2 linked regions of the Mytilus edulis genome follow. The protein of the gene in region 2 interacts with the protein of the main gene of each other region in a pairwise test. Links are inferred from orthologs where the notes say so. Each region holds a gene or a part of one and is shown on either strand. Other genes may lie near its edges.

What was found.
Region 1: the proteins of electron transfer flavoprotein subunit alpha, mitochondrial-like (region 2) and electron transfer flavoprotein subunit beta-like interact in a two-hybrid assay, tested with the Drosophila melanogaster proteins (2 studies listed by BioGRID). The link is inferred for Mytilus edulis from reciprocal best matches to the Drosophila melanogaster genes wal and Etfb.

Annotation. Positions count from the first base shown.
Region 1 is NC_092348.1:27,180,029-27,190,563, forward strand, and holds the start of electron transfer flavoprotein subunit beta-like, read left to right. Parts: upstream 1-5,221; 5' UTR 5,222-5,321; coding exon 5,322-5,378; intron 5,379-7,266; coding exon 7,267-7,425; intron 7,426-8,701; coding exon 8,702-8,860; intron 8,861-9,840; coding exon 9,841-9,903; intron 9,904-10,535. Other genes in the region: phosphatidylglycerophosphatase and protein-tyrosine phosphatase 1-like, read right to left, coding at 107-187, 2,011-2,160.
Region 2 is NC_092347.1:28,763,648-28,774,035, forward strand, and holds the start of electron transfer flavoprotein subunit alpha, mitochondrial-like, read right to left. Parts: upstream 4,798-10,388; 5' UTR 4,740-4,797; coding exon 4,698-4,739; intron 1-4,697. Other genes in the region: non-lysosomal glucosylceramidase-like, read left to right, coding at 4,798-5,057, 6,180-6,268, 7,458-7,573, 8,388-8,606, 9,574-9,813.

The sequences.
Region 1 (10,535 bases), on a different chromosome or scaffold from region 2:
ATAAATGCAGTTGTACTTAACCCTAAAATGTAAAGGCAGTTTTGAACAATTCCAGATATACTGATCATGCTAATATACAGAAAAGAAAGAAACTGATAAATCATACCTTTTCTGTTGGAATCATGCCTTTCATTTCCCAGTCTTCATTCAAACTAATCACACCTTTAATATTTTCATCTTCAACAAGCTGTAAAAGTTAAAAGAAAGAATACAGATTATTTTTCACAAAAGTTATTGGATGTTGGATGTGTATGGATTGATAGTTTAGTCTTAAATGCATGATTTTTTTATTAGTTGTTAGTGACTTTGAACTAGCTGTCAATTAACTTTGAGTACTCTCAGATTTGTACCTAGTGTATTTTGTTGTTGTTGTCGGCCACGTTACTTGTATTTTTGTCCATCTAATGAGTTAAGCCTTTTCAACTGATTTTTATAGCTCATTCTTATGTTGTACTGTACATGTTATACCACTGTCCCAGGTTAGAGGAGGGTTGGGATCCCGCTAACATGTTTGTATTTATGTATGTGCCTGTCCCAAGTCAGGAGCCTGTAATTTAGTGGTTGTCATTTGTTTATGTTTTACCTTTTTGTTTTTCATTCTTTTTTTGTACATAAATAGGGCCTTTAGTTTTCTCGTTTGCATGTTTTACATTGTCATTTCGGGGCCTTTTACAGCTGACTATGCAGTATGGGCTTTGTTCATTGTTGAAAGCCGTACAGTGACCTATAGCTGTTAATCTGTGTGTCATTTCGGTCTCTTTGGAAAGTTGTCTCATTTGCAATCATACCACATCTTCTTTTTTTATGTGACATGTTCCTTTATTATCATTTTTCATTGTAGTCTTTGTAGTTAATAATTTTGTACAGTCCAATGTCCTTGACAACATACATGTAGAGTTGACCTATTGCTTATAGTATCTTAGAAATAGACAAAACCATGAAAACTAAACATTGTTCAATGAACCATGAAATTGAGGTCAAGGTCAGATGAAATCTGTCAGTTGGACATGCATATACTCTTTACTATCAATCAATTCACAAATTTCATTTGTTGTTTATTATCTTTTTCTAATTTAGTCCTTTCGTAATCAATAATTTTGTTCAGTCCAATGTCCATAATCAAATAGAGTTGAGTCTTGACCTATAGCTTATAGCATTTGAGATATAGACCAAACACAAATACTTAATATTGTTTACCGTAGTGAACCATATAATTGAGGTCAAGGTCAGATGAAATCTGTCAGTCAGAGTCAGACATATACCCCTAACAAAATTCCATACATCAAATAAATTTGACCTTTTGCCAACAGTATTTGGGATAAGGACTTCACCTACCTTTAACCTTGGTTACACATCCACTGAAAAAAGGTAAAAGTCGGGTGTACTGAACCTGATAAACCTATAGACGTTGAAATTACCCATATATACAAAATGTAGTTTGAAAAAATCATTTTATTTCAAGCAGTTACTGAACTATGAAAATGAGGTCAAGGACAGTGGACAAATGACAGATATAAACTAGTTAACAGAGGTATCTGCATAAAAAATATTAAGCATCTAGGTCTTCTAGTTCAACGGTCTAAAATATAAAGCTTAACACAAATGGTTTATGCAGTGACTGTTGCTGGATGTCTCACATCTTGTACTTTCTGCACTTGCCAGAAAAAAAGCAGACATAAACATGGTAAAATTTGTTATCAAGTTAAAAGTATATCAAGTGTATCTGCATCATCACCCTTTAAAAGAAAAATCATTGCAGTTCAAATGATGCCTATTTAGAATGTTCCCATGGGTGTTCACAGATTGTGTGTTTTCCAATGTATCATAGTATTAAGAAGCTGTATTTTGAAATTTTGGTTTTGGGGTGGGTTTATTTTATATATATTTTTGCTTAACAGCAAAATTTGCATTAGATGTGCAACATTTTTTTTAAATCCTCAAAGGGGGAGAAATCAATATGGCTGTTTTTTATAATTTCTATTAAGGGGAAAGCACTAACGATGGTTATACCTTTTTACTATTTTCCTTCAAGGGGAGAGCACCCAATACCACTGTTTCATCAATTCTGTTGTACCATTGTCTGTTTGTTATCTTTGTCATAAGTTTGTTATAATACAACGTTGGATAGAAGGCAATCTTCCCAAATAAGCTTCCTGACATAATCAATCTTTATTCTTCTATTTTCAAGCTGCACCAACACCTAGAAATATAAAACAAATGACATATGCATGAAATGGAAAATATTTAAAAAATAAAAATCAAATCAAATATTTTATTTTTCCAATAAGGGTCCCACAAGGGGCATTTACAATTAGCAATTATGATAGTATAAGCAACAAACATGAGACATTGTACAGTATATAACGTGACAGATATTATAAGAAACAAATGAAAATAGCATTAATAACAAAAATACATTAAAAGTACTTTTTTTTCCTTCCTTCCATCCTTTTAACCATTATTATTTAATTGTCCAGCAGTGCACAAATAAAAAAATATTAATAATAAAGTTTGAACAGACTTAAATTATTATCTATAAAGATGGAAATTTGTTCATCTGCAAGAGACACCAAGGGACGGTGCTCAAGGATATACTGTTGATTGAGATAGGCAATAACAGCAATCCTTCCCGTGTCAGAAGCAGATGAACAAAATAAATAGAGAAACTGAATCCTGTCAATTAACAAATATTATTTTAAATAACAACAATGAGGGGGGATAGGAAAAAATGTAGGAGGGGTCCTGATCCCAAAATCCCGGGCTTAAAAACACGAAATCCAGAGGTCCCAAATTTAAATAAAGTAAATCCGGAAATAAAATAAAAAAAGAATTCCCGAATCCCAAAGGGTCAATCCCGAAATCCCGAGCTTAAAAACACCTGATCCCGGAGTCCCGATAAAGGTCCTATCCCCCCTCAACAATAGCTAATTTTGCGAAACATGTAATATTAATCTGCTATTTGCAGTGTTTAACCAGGAATATACACAACTCTTTTAATACTGTTACAGTTGAGTTCTCACAAGACAGCAGCCATAGCAATTTCTCTTGGGAATTTAAATTAATGAAATTGGGACATGATTCAGAAATAATTTGATATAACTGATGTCTGTCTTACAAAAAATAAATTTTTATAAAAATAATATTTTATTGTTGAATTTTGTATGCAGTAGCATTTTTCAAAGTACTTTGTTTATCCCATGAAATATCAAACATTACCACATAGTACCAGAGGTAATTCAAACAAAAAATATACCCTTAAGAAAACAGATTTACAGAGTAATTGAGAGATTTATATTCTAAAGGACAATTCATCCAATTCATCAGAACTACATCATAACATACTCAGCTCTGCATTAAAGAGTTATTATGATTAAAGCAAAATATCACACACAGGGTTTCTTTTGAGATTGGGAAATGATGATGTAATATTTTTGACATAAATTACTAGCCAAGATTTTTTTTTTTTTTTATCTGTCCTACATTCTATTTATATGCATAGTTGTTGTCACTTTCTTTCGTATATCATTATATAGCAACATATAAATGAAAAAAAAACTTTCATTGTTTGTAAGATGCAATCATAATAGTTTTAAATATAAGAATGTAGGACAGAAAGTCACAGGACAAAAAGTCACAATTCATTTTTTCTAATTATTTTCTTTGAATAAAAACCACTTATTTCTACTTTTCTTGAGCTATTGTATATAAACCAACTTTGTTAACAAAATTTATCAAAAATATATCAAAGATGATCAAATAATTGCTAAAAAAAACAAAATGTCAAAGTGGTTTGGCACTTAAATGGCTTCATGGTGCCAAGAAATATATCTTTTGCCTGATTAGAATTAAATAAATCTTGATTTTTCAAGTATAATGACACATTTCCTAAACTTTAATAATGTTGCAATGTTTAGATACCTTTTCATGTTAGCACAAGAAACAACATTTCGATCGCCATCGTTAGACAAGATGAAAAGTATTCTAGACAATTGTGGATTCTCTTACTTATGGTCATTCCAAAACACATCACCTAACATTAAATCGATAATTAAACAAAGACTAGAAGATCAGTTTACACAGTCATGGTCAGGAAAGGTAAACGATTCGCCGAAAGCCCTGAATTATCGCCTATGCAAGACATCACACAATTTCGAACACTACCTTAACGTACTTGATGATAAAGATGTAATAACAATGTCGCGGTTTAGGACAATGAACCATAAACTGCCGATTGAAAATGGTAGATGGCAAAACATTCCCCGAGAACAGAGAAAGTGTCCGTTGTGCAGAGTTGCTATAGGTGACGAATACCACTATGTAATGGAATGCAGCAGTCTCTTAACAGATAGAACACTACTTATTGACAAGAAATGACTAACAAACTTTAATGTTTTAAAATTTAATGCTATTATGAACCAAAAACAGAAATCTAAACTTCGAAAATTGTGCCAATTTATTAGAATTATAAATGACAAACTGGATTCTCTCTGATGTTAACCTGTCGGCTATACTGATCATACTGTTGTAAAAAACTCATATTTAATGCTTCCTCAACAAATGTACAATACTACATATATGCAATGTAATGTAAACTAATGTGTTTTTCTGTATACCTTTGTCCAACTTAGGTGATACCAGAATAAAATGATATATAATTTATATATCATTTTATTTATATGAATATATGTATTTATAAAAGTAAATATTTCAAAATATTTCTCTTATATATATATTCAAATAATTGTCAACAAATTATTTGTGACTTTTTGTCCTATCAAATTTGTGACTTTATGTCCTGTGACTTTTTGTCCTGTGACTTTCTGTCCGTTTATCTATAAATAATATCAAATAAAGCATAGGTACGAGTTGATAAAAATAGGGTACGAGTTGGTTGAGTACGAGTTGTCGTATACAACATTGTCATTGAGTTTAAAAAATCATATTCCGGTATACATGTTACTGAAAAAAGGTTTCTTTTTTCATTTAATTCGAAAACTGTTTGTTCCTAAACATTGACACTTAGTAGCAGGTCTTTTTTATATCAACATTTACATTTTCACATTTCACATGATTCTTTGCCAAACTCTTCTGTCTTTGAAAACCACAAAAGTTATACAAAGGATAACTTATTATTCAAATGTTTTTATAACCTTTATTCTTTTTTTTTTTAACTTTAGTTTGCTTGGTGTGGTAAAGTTTAATTGAAATTCTAATAACTTTATTTTTAACAGTGTAATTTTATTGACGATTTATCCATTACAATAAAAATTAAAGTTGTCGTTATTAGGGCTCCAATAAATTCTCCCGGTTCAAAGGTCAAAATGTCAGCACTGAGAGTGTTAGTTGGTTGCAAAAGAGTTATAGATTATGCTGTTAAAGTAAGATATTGTCACCCTATAGGAAATATTCATAGCAGTCTAAATAGTCAGGACAACTTTTTACAAAATATGTTAAAAAATATGTAACAAGCGTTTGGTTAAACATGTTATTTTTTTGTTAAAGTTTAACCTTTACCACTTTTTTATTTAGAGCTTACACTTACAAATGACTTAAGTATCATCAATTACATAAAAGACCATATTAATTTCACAAATGGGCTAATATGTAAATGTATAAACGATAAAGTAATGAAATGACATGTCACACAAAAGTCTCTGTATTCAGTGGCATGAAAATTGTAGCTATAGCCTATAGTTTTTGTCCTGGGACTATAATAATTTATACTAAGAATAATAATAGAATAAGTACAATAGTCCCCCAGCTATGCCCATGGCCTAAAGTGAAGCACATACACTAAACATGGGAAATGGAACAGGATCTCTTTGTGTAAGTGTCAACTTTGCATATTTAGGTTCCTGGCAGATGATTCTAGAGTTCCTGGAGGGCCCTAGCAGGATACATATAAGTGATGCAAAATCCTGCATTATCATTATGCTGCAACTCTAAAACAGCCTGTACTAATCTTTAATCATGTTAATGAAGTTAATCCAACAAAATCTTTAAAGGCATCAAAATACAAATGTTAGAATAGCACAGGATGCTTGCCATATGGCTACCTTATTTCAAGTCTAATCAGAGATGAGTGCCAAAATCAAATCATTTCACTTTCAATTAATGAAAGATTTGAATTGTATTCGTATTCATAGCCAATTTCTTTACAATTGTTATTGATATTGATTTCTTATTAACTTCAATCAGCTTTCTATGACAATTTTTTCCGAGGTCAAACTATTTTCTCTTCAGTTGTTTGGACAGAGTATTAATTGAAAGAGTTATCTCCTCCTTTGTTTTTATTTCATGATATATATCGCAGCTGACAGAGTAGAGGTTACATAGGAATCCTCATATAGGTTTGTGACCATTAGTCACTTTTTGGAGCTTCCATATGATAGAGAACCACTTTTTTGAAATTGTCATTTTAATGTAATGTATTAAATCTCTAAGGACATGAAGGATAGGTTAAGCTATTGTCATGATTGTCTTTTTCATTTTCACAATTCCAGAGTTTAAATTCAAACTTGTGAATTTTGGATAATAAATGGAAAATCCCTTTTTCAAATTCATTGAAATTTTGAAGGACTGTTTCTGAGAAGCACAGGTTGAGTTCATTTTCTTCATCACTCTTGCTGTTCCAGAGCATTGTTCATGTTGTTGCTTGATAATTGAATTAAGATCAATATTTTGTGGTTTCTTAGGATTAAATGGAGAACCATTTTTAATACCATGTGTATGAAACTGAAGGAAGTTTCAATCGAAGTTTTGACAACCAACTTAGATTAGGTTTGATTAGCATTAAAACCGATATTGTATGGTTAGTGATATTGAGTGACTCCAAAAGGAATTTAAGTCATGTAAGTTCTCTACGGTCAGTAGGCTTATTATTGTCTTGTAACACAGATTTATTCATTGATAAATAGAGGAATACATCATTTCTGATTTAATCTACTACACTTCACATCAGCATGTTTATTACGGAAATAATACCCTATGGAAAATCCATCATTGAATTTTTATGCTGGTGTACTTCTTACCAAAAGGAAAGAGGTCCTTACCAGGATAAAAATCACTGTTACTGACACATTCCACTTCAACTTTAAGTACATTGGTGTTTATTATATGAATCTAACATAATTATACAGTGATTTGCAGGAATACTTTTTTGGAATATAAATATGTAAAGAGCAAAAGTTATGTAAGCAAGGTAAAATTTGTAATTCAATGTTTCATATGAATGATAACAGTCATGCATTCTTTTTATTTGAATAGATTCGGGTGAAGCCAGATAAAACTGGTGTGGTAACTGATGGAGTCAAACATAGTATGAACCCATTTGATGAAATAGCTATAGAAGAAGCTGTTAGACTTAAAGAAAAGAAAATAGCATCAGAAGTGATAGCTGTGTCATGTGGACCAAAGCAATGTCAGGTCTGTTTACATATGAGTTAAATGAGTTAGGTCAAATATGATTATCAGGCATAAATATAAAATTACTACTTAGATATTGGAAGATGTGGTGTAAGTGCCAATGAGACAACTCTCCATCCAAATAACAATTTATAAAAGTAAACCATTATAGGTCAATGTACGGCCTTCAACACAGAGTCTTGGCTCACACCAAACAAAAAGCTATAAAGGGCCCCAAAATTACTAGTGTCAAACCATTCAAACAGGAAAACCAACGGTCTAATACTTAGCATGTTTAGCAAACTAAATGTTAGAGACAGTAAACTTGCAAGGAATGATGATAGTTTTAATTAACAGATCTGTACATCTGAATTTTTATCATGTTTATGTAGGATAACATAGTTGCCATGTGTTTATGTTAATTCCCCTGATTTTTAAGCTAACAATTCATTATTTTATCTTTATAGAATGTGTTACTCTTCTGACACAAAATGTATCGAACAAATTTCTAAGTTTGTATTTTGTAATGTATCATAAGAATCATTAATTGTACATATATTGTCCTTACCACTTGTTGTAAAGCAAACAAAAATCAACCAATCACAGATTTCCTTATAATGTTCAAAATGTTTTCAGTGTACAAAATGGTAACATTTTGCTACAGAATTTAAAATATGCATGACTATAGGTGTAAAACTGAAAGCGTCTCTTAGTGTTGAGGTCAGTTGTCCTAGATTTTCATGATCCATTATGATCTTAATATATATTTCAATGATGATTCATGTAAAATTAGTTGATGGAATACACTCATAGGAATTTATTGAGCCATGTGATCTATGAAGGAAATATCTACCTTACAAATAAATAAAGAATAACACTTCACTTTTATCCAAGTCAGAATTTGTTTAAAAGAATTAAAATGTTAATCAATAAAGAGATACACACTTATCTTTGTTCAATAAATTATCTTTTAAAAAAAATTAGAATTTTCTTTTTCCTGTGCTCTTTAAGTTTTCAATTGATATGATGGTCACTAGTCACTAACTTGCCTTGTGTAGAAGTATCTGGCATACTTAATTTATATCATAAGCCTTTGATAACTTTTGCTGTTCCAATATACAGTACAAATTGAAATAGCGTTTGAAGATTGCATGACATACTTTGATTTCATATTTCAATGTCTGCAAATTTTAAACCTTCTTAAAATTCATGATAATGGACTCAAAAGTGGGTAAGCCTATTGAAGATTAACATGCTTGAAGTATTGATGGACTAAGATTTTTTTTAAATATTTCAGGAAACATTAAGAACTGCACTAGCCATGGGAGCTGACAGAGCCATACATGTTAACATAGATCCTAAAGATTATGAAACTTTACAACCAATTCACGTTTCCAAATTCTTAGCAAAAATTGCACAGGATGAAAAAGCTGACATAGTAATAGTTGGGAAACAGGTAAATAACTATAAGATTTTTATTGTATATAAAAATACATTCATGGATAGATATCAACATGTATTACATTGTAATTTAAGTTATCTCATTAACCTAATTACTGGTCATATCAATCTAGAGAGCCATATCTCTTGCCCGTTAAAGACACCCTTGTAAATTTCGAAAAAGAGCAGGCTAATGTAGCTACAAGGCAGCACTCCCACCTGCAAAGTAAAAAGGGATTAATATAAGTTGCAAAACTTGTTTCCCAATCCACTAAAACCAACTATATTGAAATCTAATCCTAAAAAATACAGAAATAACTACTTTTATTTAAAAACTATCAACAATAGAACTTGATTAAAACATTCAGCTGATTTTCACAAAGTTATCTCCCTGTAGTGTTATGGTCCAACTTAATTCAAAATTCAGAATATATCCATAAATTAGTCAGGACCTCAACTTTTAAAATATTTTAGGACCTCAATAGTTCAATTTCAGGATATCCAAAAATATTTGATTTTTTTTGCAATATATGGTGTTAAACAAAACGGCTTATAAAGCTCCATAAGGTTAAACAGATTTTGTTAATTTTTTGGTGTGACATAACTTTATACTTATACCATAGATTTTGTTGAAACCCTCACTCAACTTGATCTTCATATTCTGAAACAAATATTTTAAAAAGTACATTATTTGAATGTTGAATGACATACTGTAAACCAACTTATTTTCGCGGATACTTTAATTCGCGTTTAGCACTTTCAGGTCGACTTCGTGGAGACTTAAGTTCACGATTTTTTAATTAACTTGATGTTTTTAAATAAGAAGAGATCTAAGTTTATCATATTCACGACGATTTATATTCATGTTATTTTTCTACTCGCCAAAGTCAAGAAAATAAATAGCTTGCAAAATTAAGTTGGTTTACAGTAGGCTATTTGGAGACAGAGGAATGCATGACTACCAGTATATCAAAATTAGATACATATATTTTGCAGGCTATAGATGACGATTGTAACCAGACAGGACAGATGACAGCTGCTTTGTTAGATTGGCCACAGGTAAACCATTTTAGATTGGTCATATTTAAACTTTTGTTAGATTTTTTTATATTGTCCACATATAAACTCAAGATTACTGGGGGAGTGGGCACTTACTATGAAGTGAGCTGTAGGGATTAGCTGCTGGAATAGGTTATTTCTACCAGCTTTATGAAGTGTGATAAGGTCTTGAATTAAAGATATAATATATAACAAAGTTGTCGATTGAATCATAAGTATCTGAAACTAATCAGGTGTTGATTTTTGTTAGATGAGATTCAAACTAAAATCATAAATATAACTCATATTTGTCAATGAAATAGCATTAGCATGATAGTCATAGGTATATTTTGGTAAAAAAATATATGATAGGGTATGTATTTTTGTTATTAAAATTATAAAGAAAAGGTGCAAGTGTACCCCCCCCCCCCCCCTTTTCCCCCACCACCCAACCACCCAGAGATCTCAATGAAGTCTAAAATTGAAATAATTTATCTGATAAAAATAAAATTAATTTTTGACTTTTAACTGAATTTTGTCTTCTTTTTCTTCTGATAAAAAACTCTACATAACTTTGTTTGATATTGATATCAAAAATGTAATTTCTATCAATTATGCAGCTCTTATAATATTTGTTATGCTTTAAATGGATA
Region 2 (10,388 bases):
ATCTCCTTTTTGTTGATCATATCTTTATGATCTTGCATTGCTGGTCATCATTTTACAGTTTCTCTCTATCTTTTGTAATTTTTGCCTTAAATGCAATAGGGTATAAAAAAATCGTCACTAAGGGCAATATTAACTCCTGAAAGGTGTCAGTAGTCAATTTCTGCTTCATTTATGTTGACCTACATGTGTAGGTCTACATAAAGTATTTGTAAATTTTGTCCAGTTGTTCATTTTACTAGCTACAGAATTATCTACCAAAAAAGCTTGCTGGGTTTTCACCTGTTATCTGTTGCATATATATATGAGGGATGGTCATTGTGACATTACTAATTTATCATATGACTACTGATGTAACATAAGAATAAAAAAGCTCTTCTCTGAAAAGCAATAATCAACAATAAGAGCTTATGCATGGCTTCTCATGTAGCCTACATTGAGGTTTATGACCCTTTTATAGCCATGTGAATTAGGAAATTTTTGAACTACAATAGTATCATAACAGCAAAGATAAAGAATAATAGAGATTGGCCATATTGTTCATATTACTTCGTGATACTTCAGGCAAAGCATTTTTATTTATTGTTTTAAGCGTTTAGTAGAAAAGGGAATTTTGTGGCAAATATAACCATGAATTTTGTAGAAAATCCACAGACTTTAATACAGACATGACAGAGATTTTTGTTATAAAATTGTAAAGATTGTTTTGCTATGATGTGCTAGCATACAATGTTTTCAAAAAGTTCTTAACAACCTATAAATTCCAAAAAAACCTCATGCTGAGTCACAAAATTGAAGGTGTACATGAGTTGGTCCATAATTATTTGTTTAATTAAAATCTAATAAGATGGTCACCCTCCCTCAGTTGTACAGGAATCAAGATTAGGTACTTACGGAACATAAATTATTTCTATACATGTACCATTTCATGTACATGTATACAACCCTACAGAATGACGATTATGAAGATGCTTGAAACTTTTAATAGAGCAGGGATATAGACGTGCCTTTTATCTCGGACATGATGTCTTAAAGACTGACAAATTGATGATCTTTTTTTGGTGAAAGACATGATTCCAGAAATGACCTATAAATCAACACAAGCGTATAGTCCGTCCGCCCTGATTTCGGTTCGCCCTAGTTACTGTTCGCCCTTGTTCCGTTTCGCCCTGAGACCGTTTGCCCTGATTTTTATTTTTTATTATAGTGTTGTGTTGTGTGTATTTAATTTTATATGTTGAAGTCAGTCTACAATTTTGCCGAATATTTACGAACTATTGAGAACTAAGTTAGTATCTGTATGTAATTACATTACTAGAAAATCACTATCACACATCCTTTTACTTTACATTTCCACACATGATTTGATCAATAAAAATGATACATTAGGAGCACTAAAGTTATACATAAGAAAGTGTTCAAAGTTCAAAGTGTTAATTGATCTAAAATTCTTTACTGCAGCGGCTGAACGTTGTCTAGTGGGTTGTCGGACGGCTTGTCACAGTTTGGCAATAACTTTGTAAAAAATTTATTTGAGAAAAAAGTTATTTTCATTATTAATCCATCAAAGACAATTCATATAACAATCAGTGATATCAAAGATTTCAAATTATCAGCAATCAAAATTCAATCAACAGTAATTAAAAGTAATTATAAAATAAAGTGTAACAATGCAGCCAAGAATTTTATTTCATTAATATTCTGTATTTAACTTTTAATAGATATACATGTACATAAATTTTAAGGGTTACACTAAAGACCTGAAAGTGGACCTGAAAAGACCTGAAAAGACCTGAAAAGACCTGAAAATATACGACTAAAATTATTCAAATTGCAATAACTTTTTTATTATTGGATGGAATTTCTTCAAGTTGGAATTTTATTAATTGTAAATATTCAGATTTCATTCAAATTAAAAAAAAATTAAATAAAAAACAATTTTTTGATGCCAAAAGTTGGACCTGAACGGAGAAATGAAAAGACCTGAAGGGACCTGAAAATCTATGTCGGACTAATTCTAACTACAATAACTTTTTTAATATTCAATGGATATCTTTCAACTTTTGATTTTATGACACAAAAAGTTCAATATAATGATAATATGAAAAAAAATATGTGAAAAATATTGTTGGGGTGTCAAAATTCGGACCTGAACGAAAAATTCAAAATCTGAATGAGCCTAAAATTCCACATTATTTTAAAACGAAAATAATAAACATAGACGAAAAATATGATTGATAACTTTTCATGTTCGATGTCATTTGGTCTCTTGTAGAGATCTGTCTCATTGGTATCACACCACATCTCCCTATTTTTTATTGACAGGAGATACTAACATGATAAAGATTGAAGATACCAAGGAATAATCAAAACTCGGATGTCAAAACTTATAAGTCAAAGAGATATACCATAGAAATAAATAATTGAGAAAAAGGTTTGGTGTCTTTAAACTACAATAACCCCGTCACAATTTTTGTGGTGTCCCAAGTCTGGAACCTGCACTTTGTGACAAACGTCGGACCTGTTGAATGAAAAATGAAGTCCTGAATGAACCTGGATATATATAGCGTCTCGATCGGTATGATGTTAGTCTGGTGTGTTCAGTTAGCAAAGGTAATGGCAATGCAGGAGACATGCTGATATATAATAACGTTGGAAACTATACTTGTACGCACTTTGTTGAATATTTTTATTCTGACTAAAAACGATTCAAAGTTGACTATAATTTATAAAAAGTAAGAGCGTTGATCTGAATTCACTGATTAGTTTGATATATGCTTATATTTTTAATTTGTAAAGTTTATACTTGAATGAATGAATCTTTATTGCAAAGCATAGACAGGCTATGGCAAAATTAACAACATATATTACATAATATAAAACATGAATAGACAACAGAGAACAATAGTAAAATACAATGACATATAAATTGAGTTATGAGACTATATAAGATCGAATATTCAATGCAGCTTTTACATAATTACATAATTTGATCGTGAGAGACTTACTAGAAGCTTGTAGTAAATTTAATAGTTTGATATTATTAGGCCAATGACAATAGTACTTTGGTAAAAATTGTGTTCGTACAGATCTATACTATACTTTAATTGGTGACCGAGCAATGTTTAGTTCGTGTAACAAGATAAAGTGATAATCCAATTAGAAGATTAAAGTGAAATGTTTATTTAGACTAATGATCCAATTATCACCTAATATCAAAACAAGGTGTGAATTACAACCGGCACACGTTCGTGTAATTAAAACATTCCAATCGACGAACTCTTTAAATGACATATGGTTTATGGGGAAGCAATACTAATACTTTCATTTTATAAATAAAGCAGTTTACGACCAGCTTTAATATAGAATAAGAATAAAATATATATTAATGTAGTTTAAACAAGTTGTATTAGTTTGAATAATTTCAACGTACAATCTTCCTCTTTTTTCCCCTTAGGTTCAGGATTCATCAATAACAATGTACTTTGTTTTCAAATATGTTCCTGTATAAATATAAAGTCATTCGTTCTCTTCAATAGACTTTTGTCTAAAATAGAAACAAATAGGAAAACAATGTTTTGCGAGTTTAAATACAACTACCCCTATAATCCATTCATGTCTTTTATTTCACCGACAAGGTCCGAATTTTGTAACTAAATAATTATATTTTCGATAAAATTCTTTATAATTTCATTGATATATTATACCTTTCCTATAACAAAATTCATATTTCAAGGAGAATGATTGAAAACAGTTAAAGATATTGAATAAATCTGACCGCAGTCTTTTCAAGCAAATTTATGTTCCTTAATTTTCCGTTCAGTTCCGAGTTTTCACACCCAAATGGTATTTTTCATATTTTTTTTTTAATTTTATCATTATATTGAACTTTTTGTGTCACAAAAACAAAAGTTGAAAGATATCCATTGAATATTAAAAAAGTTATTGTAGTTAGAATTAGTCCGACATAGATTTTCAGGTCCCTTCAGGTCTTTTCATTTCTCCGTTCAGGTCCAACTTTTGGCATCAAAAAATTGTTTTTTATTTAATTTTTTTTAATTTGAATGAAATCTGAATATTTACAATTAATAAAATTCCAACTTGAAGAAATTCCATCCAATAATAAAAAAGTTATTGCAATTTGAATAATTTTAGTCGTATATTTTCAGGTCTTTTCAGGTCTTTTCAGGTCCACTTTCAGGTCTTTAGTGTAACCCAAATTTTAATATATATATTTTATTTCATCATTAATGTAACGTATCCATTGTACATATATATCATAAATGAAAATAGGGCGAAAGAACCCAGGGCGAACAAACTCAGTGCGAACGAACCTAGGGCAAACATGTAATCAGAGCGAACGATCCCGATACCCAAGCGTACATAATCCTTATAATCATGATACTAACACCAACACTGTACATGCTGTTCTTGCTGTATATGCATACATGTATATATTTTTTTATTTCTAAGTTTATGTTATGTAAAAATTAAATGAAAACTGTTGTTTGTAAACTGTCCTTGTGGGACATTGACTGGTTAAATGGAATATTTCATTTATATAATCTGATAATTTTACAAAAATCAAAGGTCAAAGTTGCAAAGTGACGCATTATCAATCTTTATAAAAACATATATACACAAATAATAAAGATAACTCTTTAAAATGATATGCAAAAAAAGTATTATCGTTAGTTTACCGTCTGATTAGCTAATTTTGTTCTGCAGCACCTCGAAAACATTTTTATGCAACAATATTTTTACCCCGGAAGTAATCGGACTGTTGAAATATTAAAACAAATGCGGGCAGAAACGACATTCGTATTGGTCAAGACTGACTTGCTTCCCTGCTTGCTTCAAGGCTTCAAGTGCAAGATGCCAAAACCTCAACATATAGACCATTCCCCCGAAGCTAGCATAACTACACCAAAAGAGGACATTGCCAATGTCCCCAAATTTGGTTGGAGAGTAAACTTCGAACATGAATGCAAGGACAAATGTGATCCATTTGTAAAACCCAGACTCACCCACATTCCTGAATTAATTGGTCTTAGCTATAGGTAAACGTTTTACATTGTGACCAGACATTGTACATTATGCCACATATTAAACATGGTTATAGGTACGAATTTACTAGGGTGTTTCAAGTTTTTAAACATGCATAAAGACTGGCAAGGTACTTTGTGGAAAGGTGCTGTTGCACATGCATCAAAATTGCATGCTCCTTCTAGACAAATCAAGAAAGATTTATGTTTGTTTCTTTAAAAATTTGTTGGCTAAATTGTACCGTTCTTTTGCCTCATTGCACATGTTGCAAAAATAGACTGATTAGTCCAGGATGCACAACATTTCCTATAACTGGAAATCATGGAATCTTTGCTTGTATATGATAACATTTTATTTGAATGAACAAGATTAAGAAAGAAATTTGTGTCAGGGATTTGAATTGGATGAAAAAACTTCTGAAATTTGTTATTTGTTTACGTTGCAGCCATCTATATTCCAAGGCACATATCACATAATTTCTTTTTCTATATTATTACAGCATCTGGTCTGTTTCTAACATACATGTATGTGGATGACATTACTTTTGCCAGAAAATGTTCCTTTTTATCACAAAATTGTGTTTCTACAAAACCTTTCCTACAATAATTTTGTATTTTTTTACACTTGGCAAGTCAGATGACTTATATAGAGAGATACCGTTTAACAGAAATACACCAGGAAATTTTCAAGCAATTTCTTTAATATGATTCCAATATGGCCTTTATATGAGCCTTGATGCAAATGCTCTATTCATTGAATGTTGAACTTCAGGCGCGGATTCAGAGGGGGGGTTCTGGGGGTTGGAACCCCCCCTTTTTTTTGGACGATCAATGCATTTGAATCGGGACATGTAATTGGAACCCCCCCTTTGTCCTGGGTTAGGAACCCCCCCTTTTTAAAAGGACTGGATCCGCCCCTGAACTTGGATAGTGTATTTTCCATAAGTTTAGTTCTAAAATGCTTACGGTAAATGTCAAAGGTTAAAAGAATTCTTATGTGTCTGTTGGTGGCATGATGCAAGACAAAATCGTAACATCATGAAATATTTTCCACTGCAAACAACAATTAATCTATTTATCAGAAAAATGTTATTGAATGTCGGAAAGTCTAAAACTTTGTACTGTTGGTTGTTACAGATATATGAAAGTATGGATAAAGCACAAAAGACAGGGAAGAATAATGTTTATAGATCATCTCAATCAAGTTACTCACAAGCCTATTTATGGTAAGAATTAACAGAAGACATAGTTTGTGTTTAACTGAATCCCCAAATTGAGTGGACCACTGCATCAAGTCTTGGTATCTGAGTCGTCTAAGGAGTTTATCTACTGTTTCACTAGTCTGTCCACAATGTGGTATCAGGTTTCCTACTGAAACTTGCCTCAGTGGTTCTGCTCAGAGACCTGGGCTTCAAAACTAATAAAAACTGACCACCATAGTATTGACAATAGTTTTGAAGGGTGATTTATATACCAAAAAATTCTGACAGGATTTTTTTCCTATTTTGAGACTCGTCAATCAATTTTAATATCTAGAATTGGAGACGCATTGTATTGCTCAAAATTTTTCTTGATGATCTGCTTTTATGTCGACAAACATGGTAACTTTTTTGTGACGTTTCAATAACATGTTAAATATCTGTCAATGAGACAGTAAACAAATGATAAAAAAAAAAAACCCCAAAAAGATAGCTTGTCAGAGAAAATTTGACAGGTCAGGTTTTAACAATAAACCTGAAATAAAGGTCACAGGTCATATTAAATGGGTAAAACTGATACATACTAAATTCAGGTCCCGTAACTTAGAATGAGTTCGACATGTTAGATATGATGAAATAATACAATATTTGTAGGACTTTTTTCTAGTGAGAATTCTTTAAATATACTTGTACATATTTTGCAGGTGGTCTTATAAGGGATATAGATTGTGGAATGGTTTAATCTTGTTTATTTTGCATGATTTCTGTATGGCAATGTAAGTTGTGGGCCAATTGACTGTTTCTGCCTGGGAAAGTTGTGTTGGTTTACTGTCAATTCAGAAATTATTGTGAGGTTTTTATTATTGCGAAAAATGCAACAAAGTTGTAAACGCAATAATTTAAACTAGCATTTTGAAATATTTTATATAATTTTTTTCTCAATATCCTAAAAATTGAAATCACATTTAAGTCTAAAATGACAAAATCACAATAGTAAATGCCGGCAATAATTTCTGAATTTACAGTAACTATATCATTTATGTATATTTATTACAAGTGCATGGTTGAGGATTTTTTTAATAATTTTGTAGATATTTCATAATATGTTTAGTGGTTGTCTTATTAGTGGTATGGATTGTGGTGTCAAGAAATAGAAGTTCCTTTAATCTTGTATTGTAAGAAGAATTCTTAAGATAAACTGTTACATATTTTACAGGCTGTCCAATAGGTGGTATAGGGTGTGGGACCATTGGTCGTGGTTACCGAGGTGAATTTTGTAGATTTCAGATGGTGCCAGGGATATATGAACATACTATTGTACCAGCAAATTCTGTAAGTACAATAATAACTGCAATCTTCATGACCTACCATTGTCAAACCTAATGAGAGTGGTATAATGCTATTCTGGTGTATGCCATCTGTTTGTCCATCTGTTCATTCCATAAAAGTTCTGCCACATTTTTCTACGGTATTACATTTACATATCAAAACTTCCTTAAATTCAGATTTTGAACTTTTTGTTAACTGAATACCTATAATATATTGTTACAAATTCTGACCATGTATGAAATTTAGTGTTCAGGAACTATAAATAAGAATTTTCTGAAATGTGGCATCAATATTGTTGGAAAGGTATTTTACTGTGGAGCACATGGAAAAATTATAATTTCACCATAAAATACATGACAATGTCAATCTATGATAAATTGTTGATGAGAAGTCAGTTTTATGCTTATATGATCATGGTTGAATTTTTTATCAAGTAGTATTTTCACCATGCATTTGTACAAGATACAGGAGAAAGAAACTATCGAAAATATAAGATGCAAAGAATGGGGCAACTTTAATTTCCTGGTTAAGTAACTATAGTGAGTTCTAGCATAAGGAAGATTTGTAGATACCAACCACATCAGACAGACACTGGTTATTTTTTTTGTGAAAGCAAAGTGTATAAATGGATAACTTTTTCTATCCTTTAGCCTTTTTTTAGTTTTAAAGCATAGGGTATTGATTTTGCTCATTGTTGATGGCTGTATAGTTGTCTAATGGTGTTTACATCTATGTCCTTTGTAGATAATTGTCTCATTGTCTCATCATCTTATTTTTATATTATAGTTTGTTTCATGTTTCTATCTTTGTTTTGTAGTTCATCTTGTGTATACGAAAGAACAATAAAACTGTTTACCAAAAAGTCTTAACAGGAGGAAAAGGGAAGCACTTAAAATCCTGGGAATGGGGATTTCCCAGACAGAATGCTACATATCATGCACTTTATCCCCGATCATGGACTGTATATGATATACCTGAGTTTAATCTTAAACTTACCTGTCGTCAAATATCACCCATCTTCCCTAATGATTACAAGGTAGGTTGTAAACACATTTCCCTAACTGATGTAATAGGCAAAATTGTATATATTTTCTGTATCATTTGTTATTATGCGCATGATGAGAGGATTAAATTAGCAAGCAACAATTACTCAATATAGGGCCAGGTTACATAAATAAGGTGTAATACCACAAAATCATAGTACATCACATCTGGTTGCATACGATAAAAGGATTGAAAAAGTATTCCCTTGAATTTGACAGTTGTAGGAAATTTATCCTACATTTATTGCAGTAAACAAATCTGTGTCATAGACTTATATCTTGGGTGTTTCAAAGTACCATTATGTTTTTTAATTGATTTTTTCTATAGAATATTTTGGAAACTTGAGGTTTCCTGGTTTCTTAAGCTTGTACACAGGAAGAAAAAGGTTGAAAATTTGATTGGTTAACTTCCAGTGATGGTTATTTTTTTTATATGCAATAAACATCATGGGAATTTTTTCTATAGTGCTCGACATGACGAAACTTTACTCATGCCAAGTATTTCTTTATTTGAAACAAAGATAATTTTTGCCCAATATTTTAAAAAGTGCAAATTTAACAAAGACCAATAGGGGAAAATCAATGGTGGAATTACACCATATACATTTGCAAATCTTATTTTTTTATGGTTAAAACAAATCAGTAAAACTTTACACAATGCTATGATTACAAAATATAATCATATAACATGTATAATTGCAATCATTCTTCTTTTCTTTAATTCTTGATGGTTTAAAGCTTGGATTTCACCATCGTTGAGATAAATGTCAAATTCATATCAATTTGAACTTAGACCCACCCCTGATGCATATAAAAGGGATAAAAAAAAGTATATAAAAACACAACTGCCTACACATGAGGTAAAAATGTTACTTACTACCAGAGCACTAATGGAAAATAATACTGAATATAAAGAAATACTGTTTGAAACATTTATAATTTATTTATATTGTATTTTAGGATACTAGTTTTCCAATGGCAGTATTTGTATGGTCTGTAGAAAATATGGGACAAGACTCATTAGATGTCAGTATAACATTTACCTTTAAAAATGGAAGAGGTGTGAAGGAAGATTGTAACCCTGGTAACTGGACTGAACCATTTGAAAGTGAGGCTGAGGGGCAGAAGGTTGCAGGAATGATGATCAGACAGAACATACGCGACATGAAATGTACCTATGGAATAGCTGGAGCTTTCAAGGTGTAAATTTAGGATATTGAATACTGTTCATTCTGACAATAAGATGAAAGTACATATGCTATTAGGCCTTCACATACATTTATTTTGTTTATATGAAGTTGAAAAGAATAATGTTTAAAGGTGTGTGTATTCATATCCAAATTCTGTATATGTGACAAGGTTAAACCTTTTTTTTACCAGGGATTTTTTGCTTACCATGATGTGCTAACTGTCAGAATTGTTTGTGGCATTTTTCCTTTCTTTGGAATTCTCTCATAATCTTTTGATAATATAATACTTTGATTAGTTTTTATACGACCGCAAAAGTTTTAATTTTTTGGTCGTATATTGCTATCACGTTGGCGTCGTCGTCGTCCGAATACTTTTAGTTTTCGCACTCTAACTTTAGTAAAAGTGAATAGAAATCAATGAAATTTTAGCACAAGGTTTATGACCACAAAAGGAAGATTGGGATTGATTTTGGGAGTTTTGGTCCCAATATTTTAGGAATTAGGGGCAACAAAGGGCCCAAATAAGCATTTTCTTGGTTTTCGCACTATAACTTTAGTTTAAGTGAATAGAAATCTATGAAATTT